Linked DNA regions of Macaca mulatta. The protein of the gene in region 2 binds, or shares a complex with, the protein of the main gene of each other region. Links are inferred from orthologs where the notes say so. Each region holds a gene or a part of one and is shown on either strand. Other genes may lie near its edges. The genes, in order: TAF11, TAF6, TAF7, TAF10 and TAF4.

Region 1 (3,652 bases), on a different chromosome or scaffold from region 2:
AAAAAAAATTAGCCAGGCGTGATGGCGGGCGCCTGTAGTCCCAGCTACTTGGGAGGCTGAGGCAGGAGAATGGCGTGAACCCGGGAGGCGGAGCTTGCAGTGAGCCGAGATCGTGCCACTGCACTCCAGCCTGGGCGACAGAGCGAGACTCTGCCTCAGAAAAAAAAAAAAAAAAAAAAAGAAAACTATGACCTAGATGTATAATTAGTGACATGGAAAACATTCATCATATCTAATGTGAAAAATAGGCTATGAAACAGTATTTGACATTTGTGAAAAAAACAATTCATAGATATATATGTATAGAAACTATCTTGAAACTTTTAACATAAGCAGGATATATCTCTGTGGTAAGGTGATTCTTTTTTCTTCTTATCTATTTATTTTTATTTATTTATTTTTGAGACAGTGTCTGGCTCTATTGCCCAGGCTGGAGTGCAGTAGTGCAATCTTGGCTCATTGTAACCTCTGCCTCCTGGGTTCAAGTGATTCTCCTACCTCAGCCTCCCGAGTAGCTGGGACTACAGGCACCCACCACAACGCCTGGCTAATTTTTTGTAATTTTAGTAGAGATGGGGTTTCACCATCTTGGCCAGGCTGGTCTCAAACTCCTGACCTCAGGTGATCCGCCCACGCCTCAGCCTCCCAAAGTGCTGGGATTACAGGTGTGAGCCACCGCTCCCGGACATCTTTTTATCTATTTATATTTTCTATGCTGTAACATAATTGTTTGAAAAAAAATTTTTTGGCCTGTAATCCCAGCACTTTGGGAGGCCGAGGCGGGCGGATCACGAGGTCTCGAGTTCGAGACCAGCCTGGCCAACATGGTGAAACCCTGTCTCCACTAAAAATACAAAAATTAGCCAGGCATGGTGGCGGGCACCTGTAGTCCCAGCTACCTGGGAGGCTGAGGCAGGAGAATCGCTTGAAACCGGAAGGTGGAGGTTGCAGTGAGCAGAGATCCTGCCACTACACTCCAGCCTGAGCAATGAGAGCGAAACTCCATCTCAAAAACAAACAAACAAAAATTTGAAATAGAGGCCGGGCGCAGTGGCTCATGCCTGTCATCCCAGCACTTTGGGAGGCTGAGGCGGGCAGATCACCTGAGGTCATGAGTTCAAGACCAGCCTGGCCAATATAGTGAAACCCTGTCTCTACTAAAAATACAAAAATTAGCCAGGCATGGTGGTACATGCCTGTAGTCCCAGCTACTCGGGAGGCTGAGGCATGAGAATTGTTTGAACTCAGGAGGCAGAGGCTGCAGTGAGCTGAGATCATACCATTGCACTCCATCCTGGGCAACACAGTAAGACTCTGTCCCAAAAAAAAAAAAAAAAAAAAAAAAAAACCACCGTAACGTACTGTAACATAACATTAGAGATAGGGTTTCACTATGTTGCCCAGGCTGGTCTCAAACTTGGACCTCAAGAAATCCTCCCACCTTGGCCTTCTGAAGTGTTGGGATTATAAGCGTGAGCCACCATGCCCAGCCATAATGTATTAATCGTTTTATTTTCTTTTGAGTTTATAAAAGAAAATTTAAATACCAAGAAAAATTTATTAAATTTGTGTGGTCAAGTGAGAGCTTTGAAATGGGGAATGATAAGAAAGTGACTTACTGCATCTTCTGAATCTCATCTTCATCTACTTTCTGCTTCTTCTCTTTCTTTTCTTTGGTATCTATTTTCAGTTTTTTGGCCGCAGGAGTAAGTAATGATGAGTCTTCCCTTTCAACTGTTGTTAAATCTGAGACATCCTGACTCTTGGGCTGGGAAGATGAAAGAAACTCTATTACATATTTGGCCTACTTTCGAGGCTTGGGCAAAGTGAGAAGGCATTATCCTTATTACAAAACAACAAATCCATTTATTGAGTAGTTTTTCAGTTTTAGGCACTGACTGTACCATCAAGGATAAGATACAGTATCTCTCCTAAGGGAAGATTATGGCTCAGCCGTGGAAAGAAAACCTGCTAAATAATCTAGTTTTCCAGTTCGGCTATGAGCACAGCTCCAGTATCTGTTTACGAGGGTGATGAAATGCCAAGGATCATGAAAACTGCCCTCCCTCTGGGCCCGCTCTTCTGACCTTATTCTTTAGAGGGGATGTCAGCAAAGTCCCCTCCATCCAGCCAGCTCTTCTGCTTCTAGATCTACAGATCTCTTTACTGCTGATGATTCCATATGGAAAGAATATTAAAAAGGAGGCCCCTTCTCATTAAAACAGTGTTTATTTCACTTTGGGACTTTCAAGTGAGCTTCTCACAGGTAGTGCTCTTTTGTTCTTATCCTTCAATCCTACTGTTTCATGCAAATGTTTATTTCACATTACTAGTCTTTTTGAAGATAGATTTGTCTCTTATTATTTATATCTCTCCCCCATCAGCATTTAACACAATTTTACTTATGCTGGATGTTTAATAAATGCCTGTTTAAACCCCATTAAAAGGTAGGCAAAGACACTTCTCAAAAGAAGACATACCTGTGGTCAAAAATCATATGAAAAAAAGCTCAGCATCTCTGATTAGAGAAATGCAAATCAAAACCATAATGAGATACCATCTCATATCTGTCAGAATGGCTATTATTCAAAAATCAAAAAATAACAGATACTGGCAAGGTTGTGGAGGCAAAGGAAAGCTTTTAAACTCTTGGTTGGAGTATAAATCAGTTCACCATTGAGGAAGGCAGTGTGACAATTCCTCAAAGACCTAAAGACAGAATTACCATTTGACCCAGCAGTCCCATTACTGGGTATACACCCACAGGAATATAAATTGTTCTATTATAAAGACACATCCACACGTATGTTCATTGCAGTGCTATTGACAATAGCAAAGACATGGAATCAACCTAAATGCCCATCAATGATAGACTGGATAATGAAAATGTATTTTCCAGTATACACCATGAAATACTACACAGCCATAAAAAAGGAGATCATGTCCTTTGCAGGGACATGGATGGAGGTGGAGGCCATTATCTTTAGCAAACTAATGCGGGAACAGAAAACCAAATACTGCATGTTCTCACTAATAAGTGGGAACTAAATGATGAGAACACATGGACACATACAGGGGAACACACATTGGGGTCTATGGGAGGGTAAAGGGTGGCAGGAGGGAAAGGATCATGAAAAATAACTAATGGGTACTAGGCTTAATACCTGGGAGATGAAATAATCTATACAACAAACCCCTATGACATACATTTACTTATGTAACAAAACCTGCACATCCTGCACATGCACCCCCAAACTTAAAAAACTGCCTGTTTATAACAATAAAAATCAAATCCAAACTTCACCCCCTCTGACTTAATGTAGAATCGTAAGTATACTACAAAACTCATTGAGATTTAACTTGTTCCTAAAGAGGAATTCAAATTTAAACTCATACAGGAATATGGGAATAGATGGGATTAAGGTAGTCTATCTTTGACAATCCTTTCAATTTCTTTTTACTTACCGATTTATACAAGTTTTCTAACTTCTTTGCGCTTCAAGTTTGGTGGTTTGTATTTTCTTTAAAAATTCACCTGTTTTTCTCAGATTTTCCCATTTATTTGGCCTAAACTTGAACATTAAATGTTTTTATAGCTTTAAAGATCTCCATATTAGTGCCTATAGCCTTTCATATTTTGTAATGTACATTT
Region 2 (4,224 bases):
TTGCAGTGAGCTGAGATTGCACCACTGCACTCCAGCCTGGGCAACAGCATGAGACTCTGTCTCAAAAGAAAAAAAAAAAAAAAAAAAATATATATATATATATGTGTGTGTGTGTGTGTGTGTGTGTGTGTGTGTATAATAAATACAATGGGATAATAGTATGTCCCTCATAGGAGTGTGATGAGGATTAAATCAACATATATAAAGGCTGGCACATAGTGAGTACTGTATAAGTATTCACTGTTATCCTGCAGTTATTTATTGAGCTCCTTCTGTATGCATACTAACAATATAACAGCAATAAAACCTATTATCTCTATCTACAGGTCTCTGTCAGTGTAGTTGGGACAGATAAACCAAGGATGACAAGATATGGTGAAGCTGGGCCTGAACTCATGGGCTCAAGTGATCCTCCCACCTTGGCCTTCCCAAGTGCTGGGTTTACAGATGTGAGCCACTGTGCCCAGGCCTGTTGGCTGTATTCCGATAGAAGGCCTGCAGAGGTGTTAAAGCAAGGACTGATACAATTAGGTGATTAAGTCTGTTTAAAAAGATTGACAAGTCAGGGGAGAAGAGCGGGACACGGAGGTGAAAGGAGACAGAGATGAGGACTAAGTCATGAGACTATCATGACTGCCTTTCATGATACTGAAATACAGTTTTGTGGGGGTGAAGAGAAGAGAAAAAGAATCCAGGGAAGAAACGTAAAGTCAGGAGGGCAGCAAACTAGGGCATCAGGGCCAGTCCCCTTTCTCAAATGGGCCCCACACTAGTGCAGCTGTGGAAGGTGCTGCTTGCTGAAAAATCCATATAGTACGCACCGTCTGCAAAGTCTCACCGGATGGGGAACCTCTCCTACTTGTACGGCCTCCTTTTGTTTATGAGCTTCAAAGGCTGAGTTACTCACCCTCAAACCCCCTCAGGGGGGCGTGGGGCCTGTAATTTGGGAGCGTCTATGCTAGGGTAGGGCAGCGGATGTCCACAAGGCCTGAGCCTCACACCCGGCTCCTGCAGTCTCTGCAGATTAAGGTCTGGTGACATGAGGCAAACACGCACTGAAGATGCTCTAAAAGTTGGCAGTCCAGGGCCGATGGTCCCTGAACTACAATTCCCACAATCCATTGGCGGGGGTGTCCAAGCCAGCCAAAAAAATGCAGGCTCTCTCTGGATGCAGCTTTGAGGTGGCACTACACGTTCGCTTCCTTGACCCCATCCAAATTCAGCCAAGCTCCACCAGAACCTCCCTCAAGCCTTCAAGGAGGTCGGGTGACCCACCCAATACAGTCCAGGATGTCCGGCCTAGAAGAAGGAGGTGTGGCCGGGCGATGCCCACAGGGGCTACCCCCTTCAAATACCTTCGCATTTGCTGGGCAAGCGTTCTGCGTCATCGTCGTCCTCTTTCGGCATCCCAGCCCAAGCCCCGTGCACGGCCAAAAGGAAAACCAATATTCCCAGTCGCACAGGTCCCATGACAAAGCGCCGTCCACAAACAACCACCGCTTGCCTTCAAACCAACTTCGGAGAGGCAGTGTGGGTCCTTTAAATTCCCAGCGGCTGGCGGCAACCTTAAATCCAGCCTGGCAAGATCGGCGCATGCGCAAGATCAGCCCAACAGGGGTGCGGCCTCGTTGCTCCGGGTTTCCCTGCCTCCGTTTTGTGGCGCCTCTTGAAGGTCCTGGCAGCCGGGTAGTGAAGGAATAAATTACACTAATTACATCAAGAGGGAGTGGTCCTTATATGTAGATGTAGAAACAAATTTTTAAAATATAATTTCATTCTGTAAGCCTAGAGGACTTATTCTGGCACGGGGAAGGGGCAGTGACTTGCTCTTCGGTTCTGCCAGGACCTGCTTCCAGGAGGGGGCGGGGCCAAGATGGCGCCGAGCGCCGGTTGAGCGGCGTCCCGGCTGCGGCTAGAGTTTTCTTGCTGCCCGTGCTCGGCTGGCCGGGGCGGGTCTGAGTGGTACCCGGGAGGAGACCCTTTGAAAGTCCCTTGTGGGGACTGGAAAGAGGACGGTTGGTTGTGTGTCTGTGCTCGTGGGGACCCCGTGTGTGTGCCTGCATAGGAGAGATGTTGCAGGAGATGGGGTGGACTCTCTGAGCCTCATTTCGCGCTGCCCGGGGATCTTCGACCTGCTTCTCTGCTGGGATCTCGCTCAAGTTAACCCTCCCCTGGGACGCCTTCCTGCCGCCTCCACTTGATCTGAGGAGATCCTGTGACTGTAGCGTGTTTTATGAGCCTTTACTGGCAGAGGGTACCGCCGGGTATTGAAGGATTCGTAGGAGTTCGCCAGGGAAGTGGGACACGACCGCCTCTTGTAAACCCGGCGCCAGGCACAGAGTATGTCTCCAATAATTGTGTTTCCTATAGATAAGACTTATAAAAGTGGGGAAGGAGATTAGGGATGGTTTGAAAAGAACTAATTTCTTTTTCGGCCTCCCTCTTCCCATCCTTCCAGCACGGCCCCACCCTACTTGTACTACTCCTGAACAGTATTGATGTTAATCTTCCTAATGTCCAGCTCCAAGTGTGCCACTTATTTTATTTTATTTTATTTTATTTTGAGGCAGGATTTCCGTCTGTTGCGCAGGCTGTTGTGCAGTGGCACCATCTTGGCTCACTGCAGCCTCCAACTCCTCAGTAGTTCAAGCGATCCTCCCGCCTCAGCCGCCTAAGTAGCTGGGATGACCGGTTCACCCCACCACGCCCGTCTAATTTTTTAATTTTTGCAGAAATGGGGGTCTCACATGTTGACCAGTCTGTCTCAAACTTCTGGCCTCAAACGATCCTCCCACCTCTGCCTCCCAAAGTGCTGGGGTGAGCTACCTCTCTTGGCTCCAATTTGCTTTTTTTTTTTTTTTTTTTTTTTGAGACGGAGTCTCCCTCTATCGCCCAGGCTGGAGTGCAGTGGCACGATCTCGGTTCACTGCAACCTCCACCTCCTGGGTTCAAGCGATTCTCCCACCTCAGCCTCTCAAGTAGCTGGAGTAGCTGGGACTACAGGCGCCCGCCACCATGTCTGGTTAATTTTTGTGTTTTTACAAAAAGACAAGGTTTCACCATGTTGGCCAGGGTGGTCTCGAACTCCTGACCCCAGGTGATCTTCCCACCTTGGTCTCCCAAATTACAGGCGTGAGCCACTGCACCTGGCTCCACTTTGCTTTTAACTACAGTGTAGGCTCAAAGCTTGGGCCTATGACCTATTAATAACAGTGATACCAAGTATTTACTGAGCACCAACATCTCTAAGCCTTACAACTAATTCATTTACTTCACAAATATTTATGATGTCCCAGGGCTCCTGGAATACATCAGTGAACATAATAAAGAGCTCTGTTGGCCAGGCACAGTGACTCACGCCTGTAATCCCAGCACTTTGGGAGGCCAAGGTGGGCGGATCACCTGAGGTCAGGAGTTCAAGAGTGGACAACAAGAGTGAAATTCTATTTCCAAAAAAAAAGAGAAGAGCCCTGTTTACATGGTGGACAGAGACGGAGTCTCACTCTGTTGCCAGGCTGGAGTGCAGTGGTGCAACCTCTGCTCACTGCAACCTCCGCCTCCCGGGTTCAAGCGATTCTCCTGCCTCAGCCTCCCGAGTGTCTGGGACTACAGGCGCATGCCACCATGCCCGGCTAATTTTTGTATTTTCAGTAGAGACAGGGTTTAACCATGTTGGCCAGGATGGTCTTGATCTCTTGATCTCATGATCTGCCGGCCTCGGCCTCCCAAAGTGTTGGGATTACAGGCGTGAGCCGCCGCGCCAGGCTCAGAAGATGTTAAATGCTACGGAAAAGAAGAAGTGGGCTGCCCCCACTCTGAGGGCAGACTGCAGAGTTAAATAGGGTGGTCAGGGTAGGCAGCCAATTAGACATTTGGGAGAACATTCCAGGCAGAGGGAATGGAGCAAAAGCTATTAAGTGCATGCCTGGCAAGTTTAAGGAGCAGCCAGAAGACATATGTGTCTGGATCAAAGTGGAAGAAGGAAGGAAGAGTGATCAGAGATATAATGGGGAGAAGGCAAATTTTGAAGGGCTTTGTGGGACATTATAAGGATTTTGTCTTTTTTTTTTGAGAAGGAGTCTTGCTTTGTCACCCAGGCTGAAGTGCAGTGACACATATCTTTGCTCACTTCAACCTCCGCCTCCTGGGTTCGAGTGACTCTCCTGCCTCAGCCTCCTGACTAGCTGCAATTACAGGTGCCCGCCCATCTAATTTGTGTATTTT
Region 3 (4,283 bases), on a different chromosome or scaffold from region 2:
AAAAAAAAAAAAAAAAAGGACTTTATTTTCAAACCCAAGCTTCTCATAAACCAACCTGTCAGAAACAAATTGCATACAACTCTGCCTCTTTTATCAGTAACTGATTTTTCAAAAATAGCTCATGTTGTGAGGCATTAAATTATCTTTAAAGCATGAGAAATTTGGTACCGACTTACTTTATGAGCAATTTTGATGAAATGACATTGATAAATGACCTCAGTTCTCAGATTATTAATTATAAGAACTCAACTGAAGAAAAATAGAAATAAAATCTTAATCCAAACCAATGGAATGATTCATTGGACTGCACTTGATAACCACTGCTTTGTTTCCAACATTTTGTGCAGGTAGATTTAGTAAGCTTTTTAAAAAAGGCACAAAGGCCTTCATCTACAAAAATTAGGGTAGTTTAAGAAAGCTCTGTATCTAATGTTTCCCAGCTTTCAAGTAGATCAGATAGAACTGGAATCTTAATATGATGCAAACATGACAATTCCCAATTTCTTTACCCCTGCTGTGTTGCTTTTTTTCATAAACCAAACTGCCTCTACCTGCAGAACTGGATCAAATTTCTTAGTCACTAAACTCCACCACGAAACCACCTCAAAAGGGACCTGACTCCCACCAACCATGAAAGAACAAGATACACTACAAAGTGAAAAACAGATGCTTTTATTTATTGTATTGTAAACAACTTAATAAAATTTGCATCTCTACATATGGGAAACTGCTTTGAGTAACTGGGAAAACAGCTATTGCATGGGAAAACATATGCAAACTAGCATCACTGTCTCTAGACTAGGTTCTTCTTATTGATCTCATGTCATCATAAGGCAGCAACAGCAGCTTCTAGAAAATGGAGAAACAGCAAAGTCCTGCAGTGGAGCTATAATTAAGGTTGAACCATACATTCCACTAATCCTGCAACTTTCCTACTATCATTTTTCTGCCTATACAATCCTGCTTCTTATAGGATGAACACCTAGCAAAACAATGTAAATTTGCTGAAAAACAAAACTATAAACAAATGAAAGAACTTAACAGAACACACAGCATTAGAGGGACTAGGAAGTGCAAGGTGTTAATATCCAGTACAAGTAATAAAGCCAAGAATTTTCTAATGCTGATCAGTCTGAACACTGAAATTAAGAATCAGTTCTTTTTACTTCTCTAGGAGTGATTCTAGCTCTTCTTGCAAAGAGCTGAGTTGCTCCTTTTCTCGGTCTTCCTTTTGTTTGAGCTCATCCAGTACAGCCTGAAATCTGTTCTTGAGAGCCAGATTTTCCACTTTCATGATGAGATCCTCTTGTCGTTTTGCCCTGTCCTGGGTCTCTTGGAGCTTGCCTTTCATGTTGTCAATCTGCTTCTGAATTCCCATAACCAGCTGATTGGTTCCCTCATTTTCCTGGTGCTGTTCATCTGATTCATTTAGCTTGTCCTGTAGTTGTCTCTCCAGATCTTCCTCAGTGTCAATGATGTTTATATCTTCTTCATCTTGATGCTGGGTCTCATCTTCATCCTCACTGCTGCTGCTGAGGTCATTGAATATCTCCCGAAGCTCATCATGTTCTAATGAGTCATGGCCCTGCCTGTGACCAGACATTCCTGGAGAAGAGATATCCAGGCCTTGATTTTCTGCCTCCTTTGTTTCATCTTCAGCAATTATTTCCCACCGAGTACTAACAGCTTCAGCATCTGTACTCAGCAATCGTTTCACTTCTTTTTCCACATCTGGAGATTCAATATATTTCTTCTTTGCTGTCTTCCGGAACCTTCTCTTCCTGACATTCTTCAGAGGCAGAGTAATTCCGTGGTTCCAGATAAACTTTTTCTCTTTGTCCTTATCCTTTTTCTTGCTTGCTTTAGGATCAGTGCTAGCAACTGGCTCCTCCACAGGTGGATAGAGATCACCATCAACTGTGGATACAAGCATCTGACAGATATCAGCTGTCTTGTAAAAGGTTTTCTTATCAATGGTTTTCAAGCTTTCCATAACACAGGGCAGGTCTACCAATTTTGAGGCCAATGGAACACGGTCCACTCTGACGATTCCATGACGCCCATCAGGATGTAACTCAATTGTCAGTCTGTCCTTGAGGTTGACATGACCAGACTGTACTGCTCTTCTCACAGTAGAGGCATATTCTGGAGGCAGACGTAAGATAAACTGGCTCTCCAGTTCGTGAGGAGCATCATCTTTGCTTTTACTCATTTTTATTTCTTTGTGACTCACTTCTCCAATAAATGATGGTTACCGTAAAAAGTTCCAGCTACTGCAATAGTTTAAAACACCAGTTCGCTATGAATTGAAATATTTTAATTACAAGAAGTTCTCTGTAGATCAGCAGCTTAGCGTCTATTTTGCCTTCGTTTTTATTTAAGCTCCAAGTCTTTTCTCTAAATATGCTGTGACCAAATACCAGTCGTTAACACAAAGGCTTATTCACAGACTTAAGTTCATTAAATCAGATGCAATGCCAAGTCCCAACCTCTAGGTGCCGCTGCCCGACAACGCGGAGACAGCTACCTAGCTAAGAAGCAGGAAAGCAAATGGCGGCTCCCGCGGAACGGTTTTCGGCCCAGAAAGGCCAGCAGAGATACTCTCAATTTACAAACTCTCCCGGAACAGACACTCAAAACATCAGGGCTCAGTGAGCTCTCTTCGCCTCGGGTACTTACAATCCAGTGACGATTATAAGTTCAGTTTCACCGGGCCGGAGCGAAGGGAAGAGGAGGCCGCAAGGAGCAAAGCGGGAGGCAGCCAAGCGTCTCCTTGTCGTTTCCTTAATTCTTCCTGCCGCTTGGCAGAGTGATCCACTATCGATTACTGATGAAAGCCCAGGATGGGCAACGCGAAATCTTGCCGAGAGGCGCAGCTCGGAGAACCAGACCCGGCACCTCGCCGGCCCTCCGTTCGACCGCTTGCCCAGAGAAAACGGAAGTGCTACGTCACGACGCGGGGCGGGAGGTGGATGTGAGTGACAGCCCCTCCGGCCGGAAGGGCGGAGCCCCGGCGCGCGCAGGCGCAATAGCGCAATTACGCTGCCCAGCGTGAAACTCGTCTTTTCGCGAGAACTTGCTTTTCTGGGATGAAAATGATAGTGTTTTCGAAGAGCTGTTGGTTTCAAACTATTTAGCGCTTGGAAGTTACAAGAAAGACACGGATTCGTCCCCCGCTAAGCCAGCACTTTTAAGGGATCGCTGTGGGGCCGGATGGCTTCTAGACTTCCGGGTGATTCCGGGAGATGGGGGACGCCTGGCAGTAAGCGTCTTTGCTTCTGGAAACATCTCGGATGCTTCCTAGGGTCTAGCCAATCTGGTGCCAATACAAGAATGTGTAGCTACTATACAATGGATTTTAAAGAACCCAAATCAGTGGAGTGAGGAGGACATGGAGCTCACTATATAATTCTAAACCTCTCTTTGTTTGTTTGTTTGTTTGTTTTGGAAATGGAGTCTAGGCTGTCACCCAGGCTTGAGTGTAGTGGCACAATATTGGCTCACTGCAATCTGCACCTCCAGGGTTCAAGCGATTCTCCTGCCTCAGCCTCTTGAGTAGCTGGGATTACAGGCACCTTCCACTACCCCAGCTAAGTTTGGTATTTTTAGTAGAGAAGGGGTTTCACCATGTTGGCCAGGCTGGTCTCCAACTCCTGACCTGAGGTGATTTGCCTGTCTTGGCCTCCCAAAGTACTGGGATTATAGGTGTGAGCCACCGTGCCTGGCCCAAAGTCTATATTTTGTTTAATATAATTCCCTGTAGGGGAATTGTGCCTCTGGGTTTCCTTCTGTTCTGTAATACTCCTGAGGAAACAAGGGTGATTCCTTTTTATATGCTTGATTTAGATGTAAATGTAAGCAGAGAAGGAAGTGTTCTTCTGCAAGCACAGGTTCATTTTGGACAGAATTGTCTGATAGACTGAGCATCTGGTTAAAGTAGACATAATTGAAGTATTGTTTCCTGCTTCTCATGTACAAGTAATTTTAAATACTTTGACTTTTTTTTTAACTCCACCTCTACTATTTTGCTGTTTTGTGCTTGTCTTTTCTTTGGAGGGTCAGGTATTCATCAACACATATTTTTAGTATTTTGACATAACTGGGTAACAGTTGGTACTTATTTCTATTTATTTCCATTTATTTTTAAAATATCTGGTAGAGCATCAAGGCCATTAACATTTAATTTCTATCCTCTAAAATATTACCAATTGCCCCTAAATTTAAGAGAATTCTCTTAAGATGTAATTAACATTTCCAAAATTCACTTTATTCCTGTATGATTG
Region 4 (3,159 bases), on a different chromosome or scaffold from region 2:
TCTTTCCAATATGGAGATTGGAATGAAGGTGAGAGCAGAACAGCATACATTTGTGTTGGGGGAGTGGTTGGTTATGGTGAAAATAACTGTAGTGGGCCTGGGCTCCTCCCATATTTGTTCGGATATACAGTTATCCTGTCCCAGGGGCCAGTGGCTTCTCTCTACATGACAGACTCAAATTGTGAGGCTCAGTTTTTTCTTGTATTCACAGGTGGCATTGGAAGGCCTTCGGCCTACCATCCCACCAGGTATTTCCCCTCATGTGTGTAAGCTCATGAAGATCTGCATGAACGAAGACCCTGCAAAGCGACCCAAATTTGACATGATTGTGCCTATCCTGGAGAAGATGCAGGACAAGTAGGACCGGAAGGCCCTTGCCTGAACTCCAGAGGTGTCAGGACATGGTTGGGGGAATGTACCTCCCCAAAGCAGCAGACCTCTGGTTGCCTCCCCTGCCTCCAGTCATGGTACTACCCCAGCCATGGGGTCCATCCCCTTCCCCCATCCCTACCACTGTGGCCCCAAAAGGGGCGGGCTCAGAGCTTTGTCACTTGCCACATGGTGTCTCCCAACATGGGAGGGATCAGCCCCGCCTGTCACAATAAAGTTTATTATGAAAACAGGCTGGTGTGGGGACATGGGGACAGACAAGTACATTTAGGTTGGGTGGCTCAGGTGAAGTAGTGCGGCTTCTTCACATTGATGCCATACTCGCTGAGGGCAGGGGTCAAGTCCTCCATGGTTAAAGTATACTTGCGGTCCTGAGGGAAGAGGGAAGAGCACCAACTGAGCACAGGAATCCCACACTTCAATCCCAGATGGGTGACCCTGAGTAAGTTTTACACCTCCCCTAGGATTCAGTTTCCCCAAAGGGGTGGCAGGATAAGCTTCCACTGTTGTGGAAGGTAATTAGTGATTCAATGAGCCTCCCCTCACACCTTGCTCTTGCTCCGGGAGCTGCCGGAGGCTGTGCCCTTCATTTTGCAGTGCTGTAGGGCATCATTGGCAATATCTGAGATGAATTTCTGGGCAGCTAGGGAGATGAGCCGAATTCTAGAGAGAAAAAACTTAGATGAGAAGGAGATGGACAACACACTGCACAAGCACCCAAAACTAACCTGCCCTGGGTTTACTCACATGCGTGGGTCTGAGGCCTCAAAGCCAGCACGGTTCAGGTAGTAACCAGTCACTGCATCTGGGATCTAAGAAATCAATTAAGAGAACTGTCAGCAGAGTGGGATGAGGGTGAGGGAAATGTCGGATAGACCTGGTTATCAGGAAGCTCACGATTTGGGTGAGCAGAGGGCAAAAACAAGAGCGACTACGGAAGCAAACATCAGAGGGTGCTGAAAAGCACGGAGATGTGGCTGAAAGTTGTGACAGCAGGCTAGGTGGCCTTGTTCGGGCGGAAGCCCACCGTAGGCGTGTAATCCTCCAGCTGCATCAAGAAGTCCACCAACGGCGTGCTGGACACCACCGGCTTCACGTCTCCGTTGGCCGCGCTCGGCAGTACGTAAATCCCGTTAGACATGGCCCCTTCTGGGGGCGCCGCGCCACCCGCCGACACCGGAGCTGGAGGAGAACCAGCAAAATGAGACACAGAGGTGGGAGGCGCAGGGCCCCAGCGAGGTCTGTCTATACCCGCTGCCCTCACCCGCCGCTGGGCCCAGTCCCAGACGCTTCCCTCGCCCTCACCCGTCAGGCCCTCACCCGCCCCACGCCGCTCAGCTGGCTCCCCGGCCCGCGCCGCCAAGGGTCCCGTGCCCCCAGCAGCTGCTCCAGCCCCAGGCCCCCCTGCTGTCCCCGCGGGGCTGGCCTTGTTCTCCGCAGCGGTGCTGGCGGGCAGCGCTGCGGGAGCCGAGACCGGGGGTGCCGGGCCCGGGGCCGAGGCGGCGGAAGCCGGCGCCGCCTCGGGGTCCGCGCCGGAGCCGCTGCAGCTCATCGGGCCGGTGGGAGAGGCGGCGAACAGAGCCGCTTCCGCTTCCGCTCGCGCCGCGCACACCCCGGGGTGACGTCACGCGCCCTCGACTCGCCCCGCCTGTCACTGTTAGTGCTCTCCAGCCCGCTCCCCGCCTCCTCTGGTAGTGGGTCTGCGGGTTAGAGGAAATAGGCTGAAGGGCGGAGACCAAGCCTTGGCGAACTGCGCTGCCGTCGCCATTCCGCCCTAGCCTCTGCGGTGCTCGGTGGCGATTCCGTCGAGACTAGAAGCAGCGTGCGTCCGGGACTCTTCCGCCGCTCTGGGACACCTCATTCTGTCTGACGCTCAAGACCTTGCTTCGAGGTTTATGGGCCCTACATCCCTCGACTACGGATTGCCTGCCTGTCTGCATCCTTTCAAGTTCCCTTATTCAGCCTTGTAAGGATTCATAGTGGATTTGGAAAGCCCCCCGCCCTTCTCCACCAACTGCCCCGAGAGGTGGGGGCAGCAGTGGGGCGGCCCACAGTGCTGCTGTAGAAGGAGGAGGGGTTTCAGCCTAAGTCGACAACGTATGCAAAAATCACAACGAGTGAAAGGCGTGAGATTTTCAATGTAGCAGATATTTAATTCTTATTTGCCAACTCCTGAGCTAGGACCTGGGAATACAAAGTTAAATAGAACACGATTCTAGTCCTTTAGGCACCAACGGTCTTGGAAAGGAAGCCAGACAAGTAAAGTGGCTATTTCAATACTATGTGGTCGTTACAATACTAGAGGTAGACACAGGGGTCGCAGTGCAAGGGAGGAAGGGCATTAACATCTGCCACCTACTTCCAGGTGCCAAGTACTCTTATCAACATTATTCCACTTTATTCCCTGGTGATTAGGAAAGGCAGGTAATATTCCCACTTAACAGACGAGGAAACAGCCTCAGGGAGATAAACTTGCTTGACCCAGTCTCTCTCCCAGTCCATATCAGAACCAAGATTCAAACAGGTTTTGTTTAGAAAATCTAGGATTTTTCAGCCATAGCAAAATGAAGTAGCCTCAGGGAATCAAAACATTCACGAGAGAAGGTGACTTCTGAGCTGAATCTTGTAAGAATTCTGGAAATTAACCAGGCAGTTTGTATCAGGGGTGGTATTAAGGGGACAGAACAGCTTGAGCAAGAGTGAGAGTTCCTTGGGGTTTGGGGAGGGAGGAGGAAAAATGATTTGTTACTTAGGAACAAATAGCAACGA
Region 5 (4,090 bases), on a different chromosome or scaffold from region 2:
TACAAATGCTTCAGTACTCCAACAGCTTGTCATAACGGGCGTCTCAGCAACCCCGGAGAAGTGGCTTCTCAGCCCTCTTCCTCCCTGGAGCACTGCAGCCTAGCGGTCTCCCAGACAGACTCTCCCTACCCCCGCCCTGTCCAGTCTGACCACCAGCCCTGAACTTCACATACTCGGACAGGAAAACCTTTCACTTCTGAAGATGCTGCAAACCTCTCAAAGTGACCAATAGCTCCCTTCAGAGAGGGGACACAGAAAAGACCCACGCTCTCCTCGAAGTTCCTACTACTGCTGCCACCGAGCTGCTACAACTGCATGGCGCGCGTCACCACAGGCCGGGGAGGAGCTCCCCTGCCCAGCACCCACCAAGGCGGCTGGGGAGGGATGGGGAGCCCCAGACAAAAGCAGCCTAGCGTGCAATGCTGGTCAGGCAATCTTTCCCGTCAAACTTGAGGGGCCCTGAGGAGTCGCAGAGACAGCAGACTAGACCAAGAGCGTGAGTACTGCCAGGCAGAAGGGGCGTCTGAGCCCAAGGCATCCGCAGCACAGCCAGTATTACCCCGAGACCCCTGCACGGAGCGAGAGCATCTGCTGCCACCGCCCTCCCACTGCCCTCCCGAGGGGGCAGCAACCAGACTAGCTGGGCGCTCTTTCCTTTAGGCACCAACGCAGCGCTGGAAGAGACGGTGACACACACGGTGCTGAAACCCTACTCCAGAGCATGGCTCTCAGCAAGGCTGCGCGCCGGGAGGACTCTCGCAGGGTGCGCCCGACATCTCTGCCCTCCTGGTGGCCAACAGGGAAGCCCAAGCCTTCCATCCCGACTTCCCGAGCCTCGAGGAGGGGGTGTCGTGCCCCCGTCCTCGCCTGGAGACTGGGGAGGCTCAAGCCCAGGGTCACAAAGGGGCAGAAAGGCTAAGTGGGGACACAGGCCACACGCCTAACTGCAGAACTGAGCAGGGGACAGTTGCTGCCACTCGCACCTCCAGGTTCTGCCCTCAGCTCTGCAGACCCCATCGCCTGGCCCAGGGAGCCCCTGCGCTGAGCCTTCCAACCGGGGCAGGGGCACACAGGGCGGGAGCAGGTAAGGACCGCTCCAGTAGGAGTCCTGGCTGAGCCACTCTGAAACAGACCAGCCCCAGCCACAGGCAGCCACCGCGGACGTCTGGAACAGCGACAGGGACGCAGACTATGCCGACTCCCTCTGGCTCACTCGCAGGCAGCCACCCGGGCTGGCCCCGCACCTGGGTAGAGGCTGCCCCTCGGCCTGCTCCAGCCACGGGCCTACGGGACAGATGACCTTAGCATTCCACCAGCGGAGAACTTCCTGGAACTGGCAGCTGGCGCTGCTGGACCCGCCCTTCCCTCCCGCCCCGTGCGGCCACTCACCTGGGGGCAGCTGGAAGTTCTGGATGTTGGTCGGGTTCTGAGGCGGCTGCGGCAGGCGGGGGGCCAGCACGGTGGGCGTCAGGGTGGCCCGGATCCCGCTGGTGGTGGCCGTGGGCGTCCGGGGCAGGCTCTGGGTCACTGCGCCGGCCGCGCCTTTGGGCAGCCCGGTGGGGGTCCCGGGGGCGGGCGGTGGGACGGCGGCGGGGCTGGGCAGCGCCCCTTGCATAGTTGGCCCGATGACCATGCTGGCAGCCGTGCTGGCCGGGCCGCTGGCCGCCAGGGTCTGCGCCGCCGGGGGCGCCGCCTGCACCACCGTCTTGGGCGACTCGGCCTTGACCCCCGGCGCTGGCGCTGCAGCCGCCGCGCCAGGCCCGGGCTGGCCGCTGACCCCCGCGGGGCCCCCGGCGGCCGGGGCGGGGGCGGGGGCTGCCCCGGCGCTGCCCCCGTTCTGGGCTGCGGCAGGGGGCGGCGCAGCGGGCGCGGCGGTCGGGGGTCCGGCAGGGTGGCCGGGCGGCCGCGCCAGGGTGGCGGGCGCGGGGGGTGGCGGGGGCGGGGCGGCGGCGGGGGCGGCGGGCGCGGGGGCGGCGGGGGGCGAGGGCGCGGCGGGCGCGGGGGGCGCGGCGGCGCCCACGAAGGGGGGCGTCTGGATGACAGTGCCGGGGGCGGCGGGCTTGGGCAGCGGCAGCAGCGCGGCGGGCCCGTTGTTGACCAGGCTGACAGCAGGTGCGGCGGCGTGGTGCGAGTTCAGCAGCGCGGCGCTCCCATTCAAAGTTTGCGCGGCGCCGGGGCCGGCGGGCTTGCCAGGGCCAGGGCCGGGGCCGGGCCCGGGGCCGGGGCCGGGGCCGGCGCGGGCGGCCAGCGCGGTGGGGCCGGCGGGCTTGGCGGGGCCGGCGGGGGCGGGCTCGGGCCCCGCGGCGACGGCGGCGGCGGCGGGCACCGGGGCGCAGGCCCCCGCGCTGCCCTCGGGCGGCGGCCTCAGCTTCGCGGCGGGCGGCGCGGGCCCTGCGGGGACAAGGGGGCGGCGCGGTGAGGGGGGGCCCGGGCGCCGCGGCCCCCCGCCCCCCGGCCGCGCTCTACCTGCGGGGGGCGGCTCCGGCGCCGCTCCGGGCGCGCCCTCGGCGGGGGCGGCCGGCCCTGCGCCCGCGGCTCCGGCCGGGCTGCCGCTCACAACATGGTTCCCGAGCGCGCCGGCGGCCGCGGCCCGCACCTCGGGCGTGCGCGGCGCGAGGTGGTGGTGGTGGGCCGCGCTGGCCGCCAGCTGCGACTCGAGCGAGCCCACCAGGTCGCTCACCACTTTCTCGTCCACCTCGCTGTTGAAGAAGACCTCGTCCAGCAGATCCGAGCCCGCCGCCATCTTTTTTCCTCGGCCGCCGCCGCCGCCGCCGCTCGGGCCGAGCGCGCCTGGGCGAGGAGGAGGTTCCGAGTGGGGCGGGCGCTGGGCGGGCGGGGGGCGGCGCGCGGCCGGCGGGGGGCGGGGGCGCGCGGCCGGGGGGCGGGGGCGCGGGGGTGGCGCTCCTGCGCAGGCGCGGAGACCGCGGGCGCCCGGCGATTGGCTGCGGTGCGCACTTAAAAGGCGCGGCCAATGGCTGCGAGCGCTAGAGGCCGGGGCGCGGGCGGTCGGCCTGGGCGCGGTAGCAGCGGCGGGAAGCGCGGGGGCTGGAGCTCGGGGACGCGGGAGCCGGGGCGGTGGCGGGCAGGGCGGGGCGGTGGCCGCCGGGCGGGGCGCGGGATGCGGGGACGGTGCGCCGGGCCGGGCCGAGGCGAGCGCGGGGCGGCGACGGGGCTTCGCTCTTTGTCTCCGCTCGCTCCAAAATGGCTGCGGCGGCGCTGACGGGAACGCCGGGCGGGCCGCCCTGTGCGGTGGCAGCGGAGGTGCAGGGCCCGTCCGAGGCCCGGGGAGCAGCGCGCGGGGATGCCGGGGCGCCGGCCGGGCAGCGCGCAGGCCCCGGAGTGGATGGGCCCGAGAAGCAGGCGGGGACGGGGACGGGGCTCTCGCAGCGCGCCCTGAGGACGGGGACCGGCGCCCGGCCCCTCCAAGCCGCCGCGGGGAAGGAAGCTGGGTCCGCCCCTGGGTAGCCGGTCCCGGGCGGTGGGGAGGGGTCCTGCGCGCACGGCTCTTCTCGCCCTCCAATCGTGACCACCCCTGGCCCTTCCCTCCATTTTTAATCAATAAACTAAGCCGCCCCGGGGTGACTGTACCCGCACCTAGCTGCCTTGGAGACGGGAGTGTCATTATAAGCCCGTAGGTAAGAGCACGGTGCCTGCCAGGCGCCAAACGAAGTTCCCGAGCTGGCAAGTCTGGAAGTAGCTTTCTTTTTACCTTCTGCTGGGGGAGGGGAGTAAGTTACCTAAAATGTTCCCAAGCACCTTCTCTCTAGAAATACTTCAGTAAAAGTTCCAGTTCCCTCTTTCTGCGTGTTTTATTTTCCAACCAAAAGATGGTGTTATTGGACATTTCTAGTGGTTTTCCTTTCTCCCATTTCTTTCTAAGAGCCCAGAATAGGTTTCAGAGAGACGCTTCCTTGCCTCGGACCTCACTGGGGACAAGAGGCCGCAGGATCAGTCTTCGCAGCTGAAGACAGCGCCGCAATAAGCAGAGACCTCGGGACGATGAATGACGTTGCTGACATAGAAAATGATTTTTTTAATTGTTGTAGCAAAGGAGACTGCTAGTCTCAACAGCAGACCCGAACTGGACCCT

What was found.
Region 1: TAF6 (region 2) and TAF11 share a complex: the UniProt entries of both Homo sapiens proteins name them as parts of the TFIID basal transcription factor complex. The link is inferred for Macaca mulatta from reciprocal best matches to the Homo sapiens genes TAF6 and TAF11.
Region 3: TAF6 (region 2) and TAF7 share a complex: the UniProt entries of both Homo sapiens proteins name them as parts of the TFIID basal transcription factor complex. The link is inferred for Macaca mulatta from reciprocal best matches to the Homo sapiens genes TAF6 and TAF7.
Region 4: TAF6 (region 2) and TAF10 share a complex: the UniProt entries of both Homo sapiens proteins name them as parts of the TFIID basal transcription factor complex. The link is inferred for Macaca mulatta from reciprocal best matches to the Homo sapiens genes TAF6 and TAF10.
Region 5: TAF6 (region 2) and TAF4 share a complex: the UniProt entries of both Homo sapiens proteins name them as parts of the TFIID basal transcription factor complex. The link is inferred for Macaca mulatta from reciprocal best matches to the Homo sapiens genes TAF6 and TAF4.

The regions. Positions count from the first base shown.
Region 1 is NC_133409.1:147,392,382-147,396,033, reverse strand, and holds part of TAF11 (transcription initiation factor TFIID subunit 11), read right to left. Parts: intron 1,769-3,652; coding exon 1,620-1,768; intron 1-1,619. UniProt on the Homo sapiens protein: The TFIID basal transcription factor complex plays a major role in the initiation of RNA polymerase II (Pol II)-dependent transcription.
Region 2 is NC_133408.1:47,425,342-47,429,565, reverse strand, and holds the start of TAF6 (transcription initiation factor TFIID subunit 6), read left to right. Parts: upstream 1-1,290; coding exon 1,291-1,525; exon of another isoform or gene 1,526-1,559; intron 1,560-1,860; exon of another isoform or gene 1,861-2,340; intron 2,341-2,570; exon of another isoform or gene 2,571-2,705; intron 2,706-2,732; exon of another isoform or gene 2,733-2,747; coding exon of another isoform or gene 2,748-2,821; intron 2,822-4,051; exon of another isoform or gene 4,052-4,196; intron 4,197-4,224. Other genes in the region: CNPY4 (protein canopy homolog 4 precursor), read right to left, coding at 1,356-1,470. UniProt on the Homo sapiens protein: The TFIID basal transcription factor complex plays a major role in the initiation of RNA polymerase II (Pol II)-dependent transcription.
Region 3 is NC_133411.1:150,152,782-150,157,064, forward strand, and holds TAF7 (transcription initiation factor TFIID subunit 7), read right to left. Parts: upstream 2,945-4,283; 5' UTR 2,213-2,944; coding exon 1,163-2,212; 3' UTR 653-1,162; downstream 1-652. UniProt on the Homo sapiens protein: The TFIID basal transcription factor complex plays a major role in the initiation of RNA polymerase II (Pol II)-dependent transcription.
Region 4 is NC_133419.1:59,170,949-59,174,107, reverse strand, and holds TAF10 (transcription initiation factor TFIID subunit 10), read right to left. Parts: upstream 1,955-3,159; 5' UTR 1,943-1,954; coding exon 1,711-1,942; coding exon of another isoform or gene 1,696-1,710; intron 1,573-1,695; coding exon 1,418-1,572; intron 1,203-1,417; coding exon 1,138-1,202; intron 1,054-1,137; coding exon 939-1,053; intron 762-938; coding exon 672-761; 3' UTR 624-671; downstream 1-623. Other genes in the region: scaffold protein ILK, read left to right, coding at 1-28, 212-361. UniProt on the Homo sapiens protein: The TFIID basal transcription factor complex plays a major role in the initiation of RNA polymerase II (Pol II)-dependent transcription.
Region 5 is NC_133415.1:114,859,646-114,863,735, forward strand, and holds the start of TAF4 (transcription initiation factor TFIID subunit 4), read right to left. Parts: upstream 2,815-4,090; 5' UTR 2,744-2,814; coding exon 1,390-2,743; intron 1-1,389. UniProt on the Homo sapiens protein: The TFIID basal transcription factor complex plays a major role in the initiation of RNA polymerase II (Pol II)-dependent transcription.